Linked DNA regions of Arabidopsis thaliana. The protein of the gene in region 1 interacts with the protein of each later gene in a pairwise test. Each region holds a gene or a part of one and is shown in the gene's direction. Other genes may lie near its edges.

What was found.
Region 2: the proteins of AT5G07490 (region 1) and AT2G42390 interact in a protein complementation assay, tested with the Arabidopsis thaliana proteins (one large-scale study listed by BioGRID).
Region 3: the proteins of AT5G07490 (region 1) and RABG3E interact in a protein complementation assay, tested with the Arabidopsis thaliana proteins (one large-scale study listed by BioGRID).

What each region holds. Positions count from the first base shown.
Region 1 is NC_003076.8:2,368,526-2,374,012, forward strand, and holds AT5G07490 (uncharacterized protein), read left to right. Parts: upstream 1-1,607; 5' UTR 1,608-1,722; coding exon 1,723-1,957; intron 1,958-2,263; coding exon 2,264-2,478; 3' UTR 2,479-2,801; downstream 2,802-5,487. Other genes in the region: KUOX1 (KAR-UP oxidoreductase 1), read left to right, coding at 329-644, 754-1,029; PEI1 (Zinc finger C-x8-C-x5-C-x3-H type family protein), read left to right, coding at 4,191-4,928.
Region 2 is NC_003071.7:17,649,746-17,655,531, reverse strand, and holds AT2G42390 (kinase C substrate, heavy chain-like protein), read left to right. Parts: upstream 1-2,888; 5' UTR 2,889-3,022; coding exon 3,023-3,116; intron 3,117-3,211; coding exon 3,212-3,325; intron 3,326-3,504; coding exon 3,505-3,600; intron 3,601-3,726; coding exon 3,727-3,921; intron 3,922-4,011; coding exon 4,012-4,151; 3' UTR 4,152-4,426; downstream 4,427-5,786. Other genes in the region: VOZ2 (vascular plant one zinc finger protein 2), read left to right, coding at 1-490, 627-1,042; AT2G42395 (uncharacterized protein), read left to right, coding at 1,552-1,629, 1,730-1,966.
Region 3 is NC_003070.9:18,231,688-18,237,473, forward strand, and holds the start of RABG3E (RAB GTPase homolog G3E), read left to right. Parts: upstream 1-3,036; 5' UTR 3,037-3,154; coding exon 3,155-3,207; intron 3,208-3,849; coding exon 3,850-3,876; intron 3,877-4,044; coding exon 4,045-4,144; intron 4,145-4,549; coding exon 4,550-4,696; intron 4,697-4,784; coding exon 4,785-4,865; intron 4,866-4,952; coding exon 4,953-5,098; intron 5,099-5,214; coding exon 5,215-5,281; 3' UTR 5,282-5,328; exon of another isoform or gene 5,329-5,600; 3' UTR 5,601-5,786. Other genes in the region: AT1G49290 (Rho guanine nucleotide exchange factor), read right to left, coding at 921-1,937. UniProt on the Arabidopsis thaliana protein: Intracellular vesicle trafficking and protein transport. May play a role in adaptation to stress by recylcing macromolecules in specific cellular compartments.

The sequences.
Region 1 (5,487 bases):
TAACATAGAACACGGTTTTGTTTTTCTTTCTAACCTATGGGTTTTATGATTAAAAAAAAAAAAAAAACAGTTTTGTTGCCTGTGTATTAAAGAAATTTAGAACTGACTTAAAAATAAACTATTTCATGATTTGACCATCTTTTATCTTAATTTATTTTATATAATGGAATAGGTTGAGGATTTACATTGTATAATTAAGAAAGACATAATTACTGTTCTGTTTTGTTTTACGTTTTTTAGACCATGTCTATCACATTTTGCAAGTACTAATCGTCTATTATACGTATTTAAGTACACACACGTGTTTGCGTTTTTGTGAATAATTCAGGGAAAAAATGGGAAAGTTCTGCGAGGAAGTGAGGAAACTATCGATAGAGTTAATGGGAGCAATAACGGAAAGCCTAGGTCTAGGGAGAGACTACCTGTCGTCTCGGATGGACGAAAACGGCATGCAAGTCATGACAGTTAACTGCTATCCACCCTGTCCGGACCCTGAGACGGCGCTAGGCCTGCCGCCGCATTCAGACTATAGTTGCATCACCCTCCTTCTACAGAACTTGGACGGTCTCAAGATCTTCGATCCAATGGCTCACGGTGGATCTGGCCGTTGGGTTGGTGTCCCACAAGTCACAGGTGTACTTAAGGTGCGTTTCAACTGTACCGGTTTAGACGTAAACAGAAATAATTGAAACGTTTAGATCCAAAACAAAAAATGTAATCACCATGCATCTTCGCTCTTTTTTCTTTATTTAGGTCCATATTGGTGACCATGTGGAAGTTCTAAGCAATGGATTATACAAGAGCATCGTTCATAAAGTCACTTTGAATGAAGAGAAGACGAGAATCTCTCTCGCGAGCTTGCATAGCTTGGGTATGGACGATAAGATGAGTGTACCGCGCGAATTGGTTAACGATGAAAATCCGGTTCGGTATAAAGAGAGCAGCTTTAACGATTTTCTTGATTTTCTTGTCAAAAATGACATTTCTCAAGGGGATAGGTTTATTGACACTCTCAGAATCAAGGACTGATTAAGAGGACAATAAAATAAATACAGAATAAGAATAAAGGACTGATCAGGTCTTAGCCCGGTTTGGTTTGGTACACGGTATGACTCAGTCCATGTCCTTTTGGCGTTTAACCTGTGATAACGTGGAGATGTATATCAGAGACATATATACGTGTTAAATTGTAATGTAAGATATATAATTAGCATATCATTCTCTCGATTTCCAAATATTCATTGAAATCAAAATACCACCCAAATATGTATGTGCGCGTCTAATTTAGATTATTTTTATTAAATATTTTTCTATTTACAAATAGAAGAAAAGAAATATAATATGCATGGTTAATTGGTTTTTTTTTTTAAACATAAATATTTTAAAAACATAAACCCTTTAAAAAAAAAAACCTTTAAAAAAAAACATAAATATATGTATATAATAATTCGAAAAAATCTACGTAATTAATAACGAGTGAGATTCATTCAAGAATTTTGACAAAGTCCTAACATCGATCTGGTCCATCTGTATTTACCAAAGGCGTAGGCCCTAAATTCGCCACCAAATATTTAATAAATTTTTAAGGGGTGTTTGTTTAGTAAAGAATTACGATTTTTATCTGATTTGACACAAAAGTATCTTTTAGCCTTAATTCGTTACGTTGTAAAGACACTGATCCAATCCCTTCTACACAACAAGATCGGATTATATAGACCCAATATGTACAGATCCGCGAGCTGGAACCGTGTGACCGAGGATTACTCGGTGCCTTGGTCCGCACCAAAGGGATTATGGAAGGGCTTAGACGAAGACGAGCCGGCTCCATACGATCCCACTGGCCAAGAGATGACTAAGAAAGAGAAGTCACGTACCAAGTTTGCTGAAAACGCCGTTCACATAATCCCTTTTGTCCTTCTTGCTTGTGCTCTCGTCCTTTGGTTCTTCTCTAATCCAGGTTTGTTTACAATTATACACATTGTGTCCCTATTCATGATCTTAGGCTATCATATATATTTGCTCGATTCTCTATGCGTGCAAACAAACCATCTATTTGAGAATGTTGCATCTTCTAGTCTTTTTGATCCAGTTATTTACTTGTGATAGAAGGCCATGAATCAAGTTTCCTTAAACACATAATCTTTCTTTTTTAAAATCAATTCGGAACTCACATGATAGATATGTGTAACGTACATACATATTTGATACTCTTAAGTAGATTTGTAGCGTCAAATAAAATGATTGCACATTTTTTTACGTATAGATGTAGATGTTGGGGTGAAAGGGGACTCCATTGCGGCTAGGATTGAAGGATTAACGATCGAAGGAGACATTGACAATGACAGCGACGGAACTCAGACCGGATTCTTAGGAGCCGCCACAGAGGTCGGACATTCAAAAAATAAACTAAAACGCGAGGCTAATAAACGCAATCGGAGGATACAAGCTTCAAGGAAAGTGATGAAAGGTTTTTATTAATCACCTTTTTGTTTGATAAATATTTACGAGATAAACTTTCAAAACGAATTATTCTTTTTTTTCTTTCTATTTTGATTGCGCATGTTAGTTGATCAGGAGATGTGTTTCTTTGGTTAAACTTTTATATTTAGTTCTTCACATTATCTTCAAGATCCACAAGAACTACTTTCACTCTGTATTGACGCCTTTCTTTTTGATTAATCTGCTACAACTTGGAGGACAGCGGTTTGATGTTTAAAAAAGACTAGGGAAAAAAGTTTAAACGTTACCATTTGTGCATGCAATTGCTTCTTTTCTTTTCAGAAAAGAATACGCGTCTTTCCAAAAAAAACCTTGTAAACTGGCATAAATTCTGATTAAAAACCGTCACTTTATAGATCTGCCAAAAATAAAGACATTAATCTAGTGTGTAAAGGCTCTAAACAAAAAGAAAACAATTATATCCGAATCCAATTTTTCTATAACATGATTTTAGATTCAACTGTTTTAGCTACAAATTAGAAAGAAATTATTTTTTTATCTAAAATTCATAGCTAAAACAGTTAGAATCTAAAACCATATTTTAAAAAAAGTAGATTCGGATATGAAATGATGAAAAAACTTTATTTTCGTACGATTCTCAATTTAAAAAGATGTATTTAACGTAACAATTTTCGGATATAACAAAAAAGCGATTTGAATAGTAGATGCGAGGAAAAAGTTTTGTTTTTGTCTTATCTTCGGTCCGAGAAAATGTATTTAACGCAAAACTTTTCGGACATAAAGAAAAAACGATACGAATATCAAGTGCACAGAAAAAACTTTATTTATGCCTGATTTTCGCTCCGAAAAAATGTATTTAACGCAAAACTTTTCGGATCTAAATAAAAAAGTGATAAATAAGCTTTTTATGGTGATAATAGTATGCTGTATAATCATTTCCTACTTCGATCAAATTTATTACGACTAAAATATAAATTATGGAAATGACATTTGCAAACTATTTCTATTGTCTTTGGATTTAGCAATGCTCTCACCAACCTACCAAGATTGCAAAAGAGAAACGGCTGTCGAGGATTTAAAGGATTCCTCTCGACACGTGTGCCAGATGGTGCTCCTCTCCTCTTTATTATTTTTAAGTTCTTCTGATTATCACTTACACGTGTGCCTTCTCATGCAATTTTTACCACTCGTGTGTTTCCAAATGTTTTTCACTCTTCTTCCTTCACGTAAACGCTGCCCTTATTAACGTCTGTTAACTTTACCTCTCACGAATCAAACACCATTTAACACCATAATCAAATATTGAAATATTCTAAAACGTTGATCATGATGACGATTTTTGTAAATTACTGTAATTGTATATACTTTACATACGATCTGCTGCATCTGGAAAAATATATCTTCAAATCATATTAGTTTATCTTTCACCATCTTCCGTTGCCGTTAAGATATTATGTATCCACAGTATATAAGTGCATGCAACAAAAAATAACTGTAACGTTTAAACTTTAAAATATAGTTTTGGCATTTTTCATTGCAAAAGGTAAAATTATTAAATATTCGACTTTTTATTTCGTTTTTCTTCCTATAAATTCCCCTTTCAGTTTCCTAAATTACTTAAGATTTTCCTAAGATGAAATCTCTGTAGTTTTTTTTTTGTTCCTTTCTTAAATTTCGAAAGAAAGACATTTATTAAACCAAAATAACTCTTTAGATCATTGCAAGGAAAAATGTTGAAAAGTGCAAGTCCAATGGCATTCTACGATATCGGAGAGCAGCAATACTCTACTTTCGGGTACATTTTAAGCAAACCTGGGAACGCAGGAGCTTACGAGATTGACCCTTCGATCCCAAACATCGACGATGCGATCTACGGCTCAGATGAGTTCCGTATGTACGCTTACAAAATCAAACGGTGTCCTCGTACTCGTAGCCACGACTGGACGGAGTGTCCCTACGCTCACCGTGGCGAGAAAGCCACACGCCGTGATCCTCGCCGTTACACTTACTGTGCAGTCGCATGCCCGGCTTTCCGAAATGGCGCATGCCACCGTGGCGACTCATGCGAATTCGCACATGGCGTATTCGAGTACTGGCTCCACCCGGCGCGTTACCGAACACGCGCATGTAACGCCGGGAACTTGTGTCAGAGGAAAGTGTGTTTCTTTGCCCACGCGCCGGAGCAGCTAAGGCAGTCTGAAGGAAAGCACAGGTGCAGGTACGCATATAGGCCGGTGAGGGCTAGAGGTGGTGGAAACGGCGATGGAGTGACGATGAGAATGGACGACGAGGGTTACGACACGTCACGGTCTCCGGTGAGAAGCGGGAAAGATGATTTAGATAGTAACGAGGAGAAGGTGTTGTTGAAGTGTTGGAGTCGGATGAGCATTGTGGATGATCATTATGAGCCGTCCGATTTGGATTTGGATTTGTCACACTTTGATTGGATCTCAGAGTTGGTCGATTAAATTTGGGAAATCAAAGCAGAGAACAAAAGAAACCCGATAAATAAAGTGGATTTTGTTAAAATCCACAAGATCAAGATTCAAGATGAGAGATCTTGTCATGTATATGGTAAATTTAATTGTAATGATTTATTGCAATGTCGCAAAAGAAGTTACTTCTCTTTGCATGTAAACAGATTCTTGATCTTCTATAAGTCTTTGTATTTTCTATCGTATAAACAATGTTATAAAACAGAGTTTCAAAAGAAAATTGGCTAAGTTTGTATTTTAGTCACTACTAGTCATGCAACCGTTACGTAGATATTATAGTTGTCGCTTGTCAGTAACTCGGTATATCCGTATATAGCTATAAAAAGTTTGGGTTGTTGATCGTTGACCAGAAAAATAAAACAGCAATTTGATTGACAGTATATACGATTATTTTGTAAAATGTAGATGTTGAAAGAAAATTTAGTTACAAATAAAGTAATTTTTAATTAAAAAATTTATAATTGATAATTTATCTTAAAAACATCTATAATCAATTTGCTTTGGTATAAGAAAACCAAATATGAAAATAGTA
Region 2 (5,786 bases), on another chromosome or scaffold:
CATTATGGATATGAAGGGTTTGATCCAAGCATAAACTCCGCTCCTGATTTCCATGACCAAAAACTCAGCAGCAACTTGGATATAACTTCTCAGTATGATTATATTTTCTCCGAAGTGCGTCAGGAACTAGATAACAGCCCTTCCACTAAGCTTGATTCTTCTGAAGAGATTGACAACTTTGCTGAATTTTCTACTCCATCAAGTGTCCGTGTGCCTCCATCTGCTTTTCTGGGACCTAAGTGTGCACTATGGGATTGCACAAGGCCTGCTCAGGGCTCCGAGTGGTACCTGGATTACTGCAGTAACTACCATGGGACTCTAGCTCTGAATGAAGATTCGCCTGGCACAGCACCTGTATTGAGGCCAGGGGGCATCAGTTTGAAAGATAATCTATTGATTGATGCTCTTCGTGCAAAGACTCAGGGTAAGAATGTTGGGATCCCAGTGTGTGAAGGAGCTGTTAACACAAAATGCCCATGGAACGCAGCAGGTGAGAGCATTGTCCCACTAGAGCCCAGTTTTGCTTCTCTCTTTGTTTTAGTTCAACATTTCGTTGCCTCTTTGAAAACAGAAGCCTTATGTGAGTTTCTTACTTTTGCCTGACCCTTAATTTTTTGTACTTGCAGAGCTATTTCATCTTGAACTGGTTGAAGGCGAAACAATTAGAGAGTGGCTCTTCTTTGACAAACCTAGAAGAGCATATGATAGCGGAAACCGAAAGCAAAGATCACTTCCAGATTACAGTGGAAGAGGTTGGCATGAATCAAGAAAACAACTGATGAAGGAACAAGAAGGCCAGAAGAGATCTTACTATATGGATCCACAACCTCCAGGTCCCTTTGAGTGGCATCTCTTTGAATACCAAATCAATGAATCTGACGCATGTGCGTTATATCGCCTAGAACTTAAAGTAGGAAATGGAAAGAAGAGTCCTAAGGGAAAGATTTCAAAAGACCCTCTGGCTGATCTGCAGAAGAAGATGGGACAGTTTAAAGTGGCTTCAGACAAACCCTCTCCTCCAACCAAAGGTCGTAAGGAGTGAAGTTAGCTATTGGTAATCTAACTCAAGACTCCTGCAACAATAGCTCCAAGTTGTCTCCAGCATTCTACAAAAGAGCCATCGCCACCTCTGTTTTCTTTTTTTTTTTCTTTCTGACTGTATTATGAAGAGATAGGATCTTTGATGTGTTGTGTTAATATGGACAAGTCTGGTCTTTGCCCTTTTTCTTGATAGAATCGTAGATGGGTTTGTAAATTTTTGCATTTTATTTTTCTCCTTTAAAACCACAAGGATTTTGTTAACGAAGTGGTGTATTCATATTTCAAAGGTACATTTGCAACACCATTGATTCTTTATTCCAATTCTTATCTACGTGTGTGTGTGAATGAAACTTGAAACCAATACAAGTCACTAATGCTCTCAGATTATGTAATTGGGCTTTACTGGGCCGTTTATAAAATTGGGCTAGAAAAAGGGAGACAGCAGACGACAAGAGCATCCTTGTTCTCTTTAAACCCTAAATTACAAGCAAATCACCAACAGAGAGAGTAATGGCGAAAAATTCTGGTAGCTCGTTTGAAGCAGAGAAATCAGAGGGAAAGTGTGTTACGACGACTACTGAAGCACAAGTAATTCAAAATTCTGGCTGATGAATTATGTATTTGATTTTACGTATTTGTAATTCACTAATTCTCACTGATTCATACAATTTGTGTCGTAAATGAACAGCAAAGTAGTCAACCTGTTTTGAGCAAGGAAGAGGAGAAAGTGAGAGATAGCTACTTGTTCTGCTGTGAAAATTTCTACACTCTTCCTGAGATGATCAATTTCATGAAGGAGATTCATGGTGTAGAACAAACCACTGTGACAAAGGTTTTCAGGGAACTTTTAAAAGGTAGAAAAGCTGAAGCATATCTCAGAGAATCTCAGAAAAGAATGAAGGCAAGAACAACAACAACAACTTGAACAGAGGAGGATGAGGCTTAGGTTGCTCTAATTTGAAATTCTTTGGTTTGGTTTACTGGTTAGTAAGAAATAGACTTGTATTGTCACATTTTTTTATCATATTTTGAGGTCCATTGCTTTGGGTGTATGGACCAGACTAGGACAAATGAATAGGAGATGCAAAAGGGTAATAATGGAGAAGTCAGTCTTGTTGGTCTATTCTTGTCCGAGTCCATGATTTTTAGAGGGAGAACTAGAAGGAGGAACTAAAAGTTGTTTAGGTTAATGGTTTAGGTGCTAAGTGTTGGCTCTGTGTGTTACTTATGACTCGTGGGATCTAATGTCTTGTGAAAAATCACTTGTGAGATAAAATGGACATAGTCTAGAGAAGAAGGTATATAAGAAGAAAAGCAGTCAACTTAACTACAAAATCACAACGGCTCACAACTGTTTTATGTTGTAGAAGTTGGTTGCTTCTTAGAGTGGTTCATTCTTCATTACCAGCTAACCGCAAATAACCGTGACTTGAAGTCTTTCGAATTACACTTCTTTCACTCGTGGTTCAAACTTCTTCTGTTCAAGTTGTTATGCCTTCTCCAGCCATTACTTGATTTCAAAATGGTGTTGATGGTCTCATTCTTGAAGGCTTGGATGTTTCTCAACTTTTTGCTCTTGAACAAGAGCCAAGAGGTGATGGGACTCCGTAGTACAAACACAATTTAAGAACGTTTGAGTAAGAGTTTTGATTCACATTGAAAAAAAAACTTAGAAGAAAAAATGAACCAAACTAAAATAATCAAATTAATTTAGTTTATTAATCAAGAATTAAATCAAGTTTTAATAATAACCTGAATTGTAGATTTTTTTTCTTTTCTTAATAGTCGAATACTGAACACTGTAGTATTAAATGAAAACTCAAAGCCCAATATAATTCAAAGCCCATCGAATCAAATATCTGGCCACTCCACTTATTCTTAACTTGAAACTTAAAAGCCGAAATCGTAAAGAGAGAATCTGGTCGGAATAATCCACTCGAATCTTAAAACGACGTCGGTTTAACCAAATGCGAGTCAACGGATGCTGCTGCAATGCGTCGTGTTGTGTTCGTCACTCGCCGTCGTCGTCATCTCCGTCGCTTCGACCTCTCCCCTCGTTGGTGTTCACCCTTTAGGTTACTTCTTCGATGACTCTTATCTTTATTATATCGACAAATCTGAAAAATGTTCTTGTTCTCTGATTCTTACTTACTTCTTTGTTGTGAGGCAGATGAAAAGTATTTCGACTCAGATGTTATCAAATGCAAAGATGGCTCCAAATCTTTCACAAGAGATCGTCTCAACGACAACTTCTGCGATTGTCTCGACGGCACCGATGAGCCTGGTACACACTTTTTTCTCAATTTAGAATCCAGAGAGCTGAGATGACATGAGACTTTAAATTCTTTCCAGATAAAAAGATTTAGGACTAGAATTGATCGAATCTTATTCTCTTTCACAATTTCAATTATGAAAAATGTGTTCTTGTGAGTAAGTTTCTGAATTTCTGATTTTGCATTACAGGAACTTCGGCATGTCCAAATGGCAAATTTTACTGTAGGAACATTGGAAGTTCTCCAAAGTTCGTTTACTCTTCTCGTGTGAATGATCGAATCTGTGGTCAGTAGTTACTAATGTTCTGAATTCGACTAAATGATTCTCGTTTCAGCTGTCTCTTGCTGTATGCTAGTAATCTACATGTTTTTGTTGGATTGGATAAGCAGCATGACATTGTCTGTTTCTCAGATTGCTGCGATGGAAGCGACGAGTACGAAAGTAGCATTCATTGTCCCAACACTTGTATAATGGGTGGTAACGTTAACTACATCTACAAACCTAGAGCCAACCTTAAATCTATACACTTGCAACTCGGTTCAACGCCTCATCCAAAGGAGTTTTATACTATAGGAAATCTTCAGGACATGGTCAAGAATCTACAAGGTTTTGCAACTTTTCTTGGGAAGCTTATTTGTTTTGTTTGATTGTCTAGCAAACTGATACAAAAACAATTGTTGTTGTTGTTGTTTCCAGGTATGAAGCTTGTTTTCGCTCTTCAGATGGTTTTTATCGGTTTCTTAGTGATCTTATGGATGCTTAGGAGTCGTGCTCGGTCTAAGAGACGACGCTATCTGCTGAAGAATGTACCTCCCATTAATAGATCAGCTAACTAACTCCCTGGAACTTGTATTATACTTTTGTGAAGCTTTTACGTGGAACCTGAGTGTTAAAGCCACATATGTCAAGTGTCATTACTAGCTATACTTATTCAGTGTGAGATTGTTTGTTCCTAGTTACATAATTGTCTTGGTCTTCATGTTTATTAAGCCTTCAGATCCTCAGACCATAGTAGGTACCGATGAGTCTTATCACAAGTAAGATAGTCACATGATCTGCAGATTTTCTAGAAAATGGATGGATTCACAATTTGAATGATCTCATGGTGAATTATTCGACTGATATAAGGTTTTATGAAAATGAACTCTTGTTTGTTTCTCACAGACAAAATCAATATACAAAAAACATTACAAGCCATTGAAGAGAAGAGAGAAATTTACAGTTAAAAAATCCTGAAAAAATGATTTGTAAACTCAAGATTGGAAACATCCACAAGTTGCCTTTGGAACAATTCTAATGGCCCAGTATTTTAGCAGCCGTTTCTTCTTGCTTCTCCACGCTTACCTTCAATCATTGCACTTCTTTCTTCTGCTTCCTTGTGAGTCACTGAAACCTAATTCATCCTCTCTGCATACTCCTGCTTTCTTCTTCTCTAGTTCCTCCTGCAGTGAAACAAATTCACAAACACTTCACTTCTCATTGTTCTCAATCACATTGAAACAGTATCAGCTCTCTATTGCTAAGTTTATTTTACCTCCATTTTCTTGAGTTGCACTTCGACAGCTGCTTTCTTCACTTCTCAACGGAAAACTAGTCACATAGTTTAGTTTAAGGTCACCTCTAACGAGTGAAGCAGACCAAGATTTCGCCAGTGCAGATTCTGTAAGAATTTTCATTCTACTAAAACATAAACAGCAATATGCCAAGCCTTAACACAAAGAGTGTCACAGGTAAACACATACAGAGCAAATGCATGATTCTGTCATAAAGCTTCAAATTTAGCTGTAATATATTACCTCCATGGATGTGTATTGAATCGTAAATAGGCCGCTTCTCTCTCGAAACAAGAACTAGCAATGGTAGCCTGATGTCAACGTATGTTGTATGAATCAAGTCCCCAGTGCAACTTGAAGGTAAAAGAACTTCTTCACACTGTTAGGTCGAAAGGTGAAACTTAAAGCTTATGTACTAGACAAGGCGATGGAACTTCTTCACACTGTTAAGGACAGACTTAGAGGTAAAAGAAAAACTTGAGTAGCTCATGGAGTTTAGCTAGAGGTTGGTCGCTAAGATATTTGTAAACTGAAGATGCTAATGGTTATATTAGGGATGATGATCTTGAAGGAATTATTTGGAAATGACATAACAGATGATGTGTGATTTCCTCCTTTAAAACAAAATCGTTTGGTTTTGATAATCATGAAAATATTTCTATGAGATTACTGTCCGACACACATTTAGAGAAATAATTCACTGACTATATATTCCGTAAATACATGTACATATAACTTTCTCAAGTTTGATTTATAATTTTAACATTTCAACAAAACAAAAAAATATAGATTCCGTTAAATATTCCTATCGATCCGGAAAAGTAAAAAATTGGACAGACAAAATATCCAAAATTATACGATTTAAGAGAGAAAAAAAAAGTAGCAAGTGTCCTACATGTGGGTGTGGTCTGGGACAAA
Region 3 (5,786 bases), on another chromosome or scaffold:
AGTTTCTAATCATTATTATTACTACGTGTTCTACGTGTTTTATTATTTAAGGTATCCCGACCTTCCATCTAGATGGATGAGTCAATGATAGTTTATTTCTATTTCTAAAACCATTTTGAATCCAAATCCAAAGAAGAAAGGGTAACACCAATATGGTTTCATCGAAGAAGGAAAAGAAAAACCTTGTTCTTGTAGTATATTAATCGGTTTAAAACTGCATTTATTCTAAAACAACACTTCATTTAAAACGGATGGAGTATATCCCACGTAATAACAAAAATTCTAAAAACGACAACGATACAGTTATCTATGAACTAATCATATTTTCATTTTTATTTTGACTAATAATTAAATTGCTACGTCGATTTTAAAAAGTATACAACATAAAAATATACATTTTTAAAACTCAAATATAATTACGATGTAGATTTTGTAATTAAATCATTCAACACAAATTCTAAGTAACATGACCTTAGATAAAACATTTCGGAGCGATGATGCTAATGGAGGATGTTGGCACAACATCTTCTTGATTATTTGACAGACTATACTAAATCAAATATCCTATAACAAAAGACCAAACAAATAAAAAAAACTATCAATTAATTAATAATAATTAAATATATAGAAACTGATAATTAGCCAATCATATATTATTTTTTTATTTTATCTTATGAATTTAATTATACATAGATATACATTTGTTCTTGGAAGTTTTCCGGCGTTATATTTCTCAAACATTGTATGATTCAAAATATATAAAAATAACACCAACTAGTAAAAAAGTAATTGTACTCGCCAATTTAAACATATATTAATGTGTAGCACAATAATAAGATTGACGACACAATTTTATTAGATAAACAACAACAACGACAACATCAACAAGCACAACATGTAAATAAGAAGTTCAGAAACACTCAAAAATGAGTAGAGGATGAAGCTGGATAAGGATTCTTGCGAACGTACTTACGAGCCCAAACATGTTTGCCATCGATGGTGAACTTGTTTCTAAACCTCGCACTCACAATCTCATCCATCATCGACGCACACTGCAGTTTCATCACCATCTTCGCAAACAATGGCTGCTCGTTTGCTTCAACTTCTTGCATCTCTACCGCTTCTATCACTTCCCCGAATCTCCTAGTGAAGTAAACCCTTACTTCCGCTTCCGAGATCGGATACCCTTTTGAAAACGTCAGGAAAACCGTCCGATCATCTGCCGCCAGCACACCTTCCTTCTCTTTTACCTCCATTGTCTCTTTCTCTCTAAGGGCCTTTTCTGTTTCGTCTTCAACTGGAGGATGAGGACGAGGAGGAGGAGGAGAAGCAATTTTTACTTGTTGTACACTTAACCTATTAGATTTTTCTTGTTGGAGACTCAACCTGAGTTTCTTCATATCCTCTATGAATTTCTCTCTCTCTAAAGCCAATTGTTTCTCCCTGTTGATCCTATGAGCTGTCTCGCATAAATCTGAGAATGCTCGAGTGCAAACATCGGTCCAACTCTTTGTCACTCCAGCGCAAAAGTTTTTGCGTTGTTGGTTGATCAATCTGAGAGTAAACTTTCCTCCAGTAATACGTAAGAGCAATGGTATCATGGAGTTATCATCGTTGTCAGCAGCGAAGAACGTTGATGCAAACTCTACGTTGTATAACAAATTTATACACACACCGATTTCGTTAGCCACCGCGTCGACAAAAGCGTTTGGTAACGAGACAAGGTACGCGATTATGTCGCGGGCATAACTGGATTGCTCGAGGAACAAGAGAAAACACATGGCTAGAAACGACTGGTCAACGTCTCGGTTTAGATTGAAGACAAGACGACTGAACAAGGTTCTGTCGATTGTGTGAAAAGCATTGAACTCGTCTCGTGTCACCACAATTGAAGATAAAGGATTGTTTAAGACAGACGGATACAAAGGAGAAGCCATGACTGATTTTTTATCGATATGTGGTGGTGATGGGTGATGTTATCTATGTGATTAGAGAGGGTTTATAAAGAGAATCCATTGAAATGTTGAAAAGGTGTAATCATATTTTTCCTTAATAATTTGTATTTCATTCCTAAAGAGTTTTTGTCCTCGTTCATGTATCTAATTAATTACATACAACAGTCATAACCTTAAAGAGGCTTGGTATCGTTTTGGTGTGAGACATTGTGACCCTTGGATCATCATCATTCTTCACCCATAACCCTTCGATCATTATCGTCATCTATCACCCTTCCCTAACATTTTTGTTTCTTTATGAAGGGAGCCTAAATTATTAAGTATTACTATTTTCTGACGCTTTACTGTTTTTTTTTAAATTAAGATAAAATATACAGGGTCAAACATTTGATAAGGATATTTTAATCTTGTCATTAAGGAAAATAAAATATTTGACTACAGTATAATCTCGATTTAATTAAATATATTAATTGTACATCATTTGATTTCTCCAAAATAAATTATATTTCATAAAGGTTTTGTAGTCAAAAATACTTATTTTTTGCTAATAGTTAACTGTATTTTTATTTATTTTTATAATTTAAGAATTAAATTTTTTATACTTTTTCGTATATTTCCGTACATTTCCTATCTTTTAAGTTATTTACATTGCGTTAATATAAATTAAAAGAAGAAATTTAGTAGTTAGTTAACTATAATTATAAAATGGTAAAAACCGATATTTGATAAAATAATATGTCATTGAACGAATTAGCAAATACGTATCGTAAATAAAATGTGTACGGCTCCGTACTGTTTTGATAAATAAAATAATATCAAACAAAATAATATTATTTATTTAAAAGTAATCACAAATTTTTTATTAAATCTGAAGATAAAATTCTGGATAAACCATAAGATTCTTTACCTAAAATAAAGGTCAAAGTTTTAGTATGAAAATAAATAGAAATGTTCTGTATAAGGTTAATTAGTTGGATATACTGATATACATACATTTTGTTAAAATCCATAAATCATCACCACTAAATATCTTTGAAAATAATATTATAAAAAAAAATGACAGGTCAGCAACAGTATAATCAAGGGGGCAGAGAAGAAAGAAAATAATCGGAAACAGCGTCTTCTCCATAAACCCAGAAAATCGCAGAGAGCTTTCTCTTGTCTTTGTACAGATCTCTCCCATCATCGTTCGTGATTCGATGCCTTCTCGTAGAAGAACTCTCCTCAAAGTCATCATCCTCGGTGATAGCGGGTAAGGAACTCTTTCTCTCTTTACATGTTGATTTAGTGTTTTTTCGATCAGTAAGTAAATACTTTTTCTGGTTTCGAATTTTTGAAGATTGAAGTCGAATTTTGTGTATTACCTTTTGATTGGATTCGATCTGAATTGGTGTGATCTCTTAGGTTGTTGATTTCTGTGTCTTCTGGATTTAATTGTTCTGTAGTTACTTGGAATTGAATTGTGAAGTGATGATTAGAGATTGGATTAGTTCTCGTGGGAAGGTTTGTAATCACATGAAAGATTAGTAGAATTAGTCTCAAGTAATGATGCTGCTATCTTAAGGTCATGTCTGATTTTTCTCTCAGTATGATTCAGATTTGGTGTTCTTGTTGTCTACTGGAAAGATTGAATAGTGAATCTTGTATCATATTCAACATTTGTATTATCCTTCTGTTGGAATTTGCAATCTTTTATAAGAAATCATTCGGTCTAGTGTTCGCAATCAAGTAAGAATTTGTTGTTAACCTGTTTTTTTCTTGGTGAGTGAGAGTGAATATGTTGTGAATCAGATATTGTATGTTGTGATACCTAGTGAAGCTGTTGAACTATGACTCTAAAAGTCTTATTGTTGTGTTTATCGAAGTTAAGAATTTTGAATTTGTGATTTTGCAGGGTTGGGAAGACTTCTTTAATGAATCAGTATCCTAAATTTTCTGTGCATGGAGTCAAGAGGATGCTACTACAATGTTTTTAAAAAAAAATATATGTGAATAAATTCTTTGGTCTCTGTTTTATGAGTAACAATCTTTCCTTTTGTCGAGTTAGATGAGTTTGTGTTTCTGTTTCACTTTAACAACACGCCTTTAGATATGTTAATAAGAAGTTCAGCAACCAGTATAAGGCAACTATTGGGGCTGATTTCTTGACTAAGGAAGTTCAATTTGAAGACCGGCTTTTCACTTTACAGGTTTGTTGTGGCAGCGCTTTATCAGTAAACCTCTTTTATTTTATTTTAGCGCAGTTGGTATAAGTTAGACTCCTTAGTGGCAGAGGAAAACTTGGAATAAAAAAAGTTGATAGTTTATGAGCTTCAGGCTATCTCTGCTTACCTTTGAAGGAAATTAAGCCCTATGTAGTCTTATCTTATACCAATTGACACTTTTGTTCTCTGGAATTTGTTGTGCGTCATTCCAATATTGAAACGCTTCATACTGGTTTCTAATGTGATTCTGCTTGGGCATTATCAGACTTAGGAAACATACAAAAAGGGGTGACCATAAGAGTGTCTTAGATTAAGAATTGATCCCAAGTACTATATATATTGCTCTCTTTGCTTGACCATAAGAGCTAAGGTCTTGCTTTTTTTTTACAGATCTGGGACACAGCTGGTCAAGAAAGGTTTCAGAGTCTTGGTGTTGCGTTTTATCGTGGTGCTGATTGCTGTGTTCTTGTATATGATGTCAACTCCGCAAAATCATTCGAGGATCTCAACAACTGGAGGGAAGAGTTTCTGATCCAGGTATAAATATATATAGATCTTACTCTCTCTTCCTAGTAGATTAAAGAGAAAGAACTTGGCTTGAAATTGCGGTAATTGTGATTTGCAGGCAAGTCCTTCGGATCCAGAGAACTTTCCCTTTGTTGTTATCGGTAATAAGATCGATGTGGATGGTGGAAGCAGCCGGGTGGTATGTATATAATCTCCGTGTAATGAAGAACAACCTTGAAATTTGAAGCCTCTCTGCATTGTTTCCAATCACTTTATGGTTTTTCAGGTATCAGAGAAGAAGGCTCGAGCTTGGTGTGCTTCGAAAGGAAACATTCCATACTATGAAACCTCAGCTAAAGTAGGCACCAATGTAGAAGACGCGTTCCTGTGCATAACTACGAACGCAATGAAGAGTGGAGAAGAGGAAGAAATGTAAGTTAAAAACATACAATCGCAATCATAGGCTTTGTTAATGGTATTTTTCTTTTCGGGTTGATGGGTCTCGACTCGAGATTATGTCTGAAACTTGTTGATGTTCGATCTTTTAGGTACCTACCAGACACGATCGATGTCGGAACCAGCAATCCACAGAGGTCAACAGGATGTGAATGCTGAAAGTGTTCATTTGACCTATGCTCTCTCATCAGTTATCCCACTCTGAGGTTTTTTACCATATTGTAAATCTGTTGTTCTGTGGTACATTAATATTTTAAAAATTTAGAACCCTAATAAATAAATAATTAAAAAGCCGAATTGGGTTGGTCGGTGTTTGTGGGTGGCCGTATATTATGGATCTCTCTTTTTCTCTACACTAACGTTATTTGTTGTCCACTACATTTATGAAAAGACTTAAATGGTTTCTTTTTTCATTCTTGTTTCTTCTCATACTTTGTCTACCTTTAAGGATGACTTATTTATAATTGATCCAATGTAGATTTGAAGACGACAACAGCATATGGATAACGGCATATTTTATGAATGAATAATATTATTCATCATATTTGGAGATAATGCATATATATTAGGGTATTATTATTTTTTCAAAAAGTTAGTTTTATTGTATGTTAATAGCTAATGAACAAATCATTTGAGAAAAGAAAACTATATATAATTAATATTC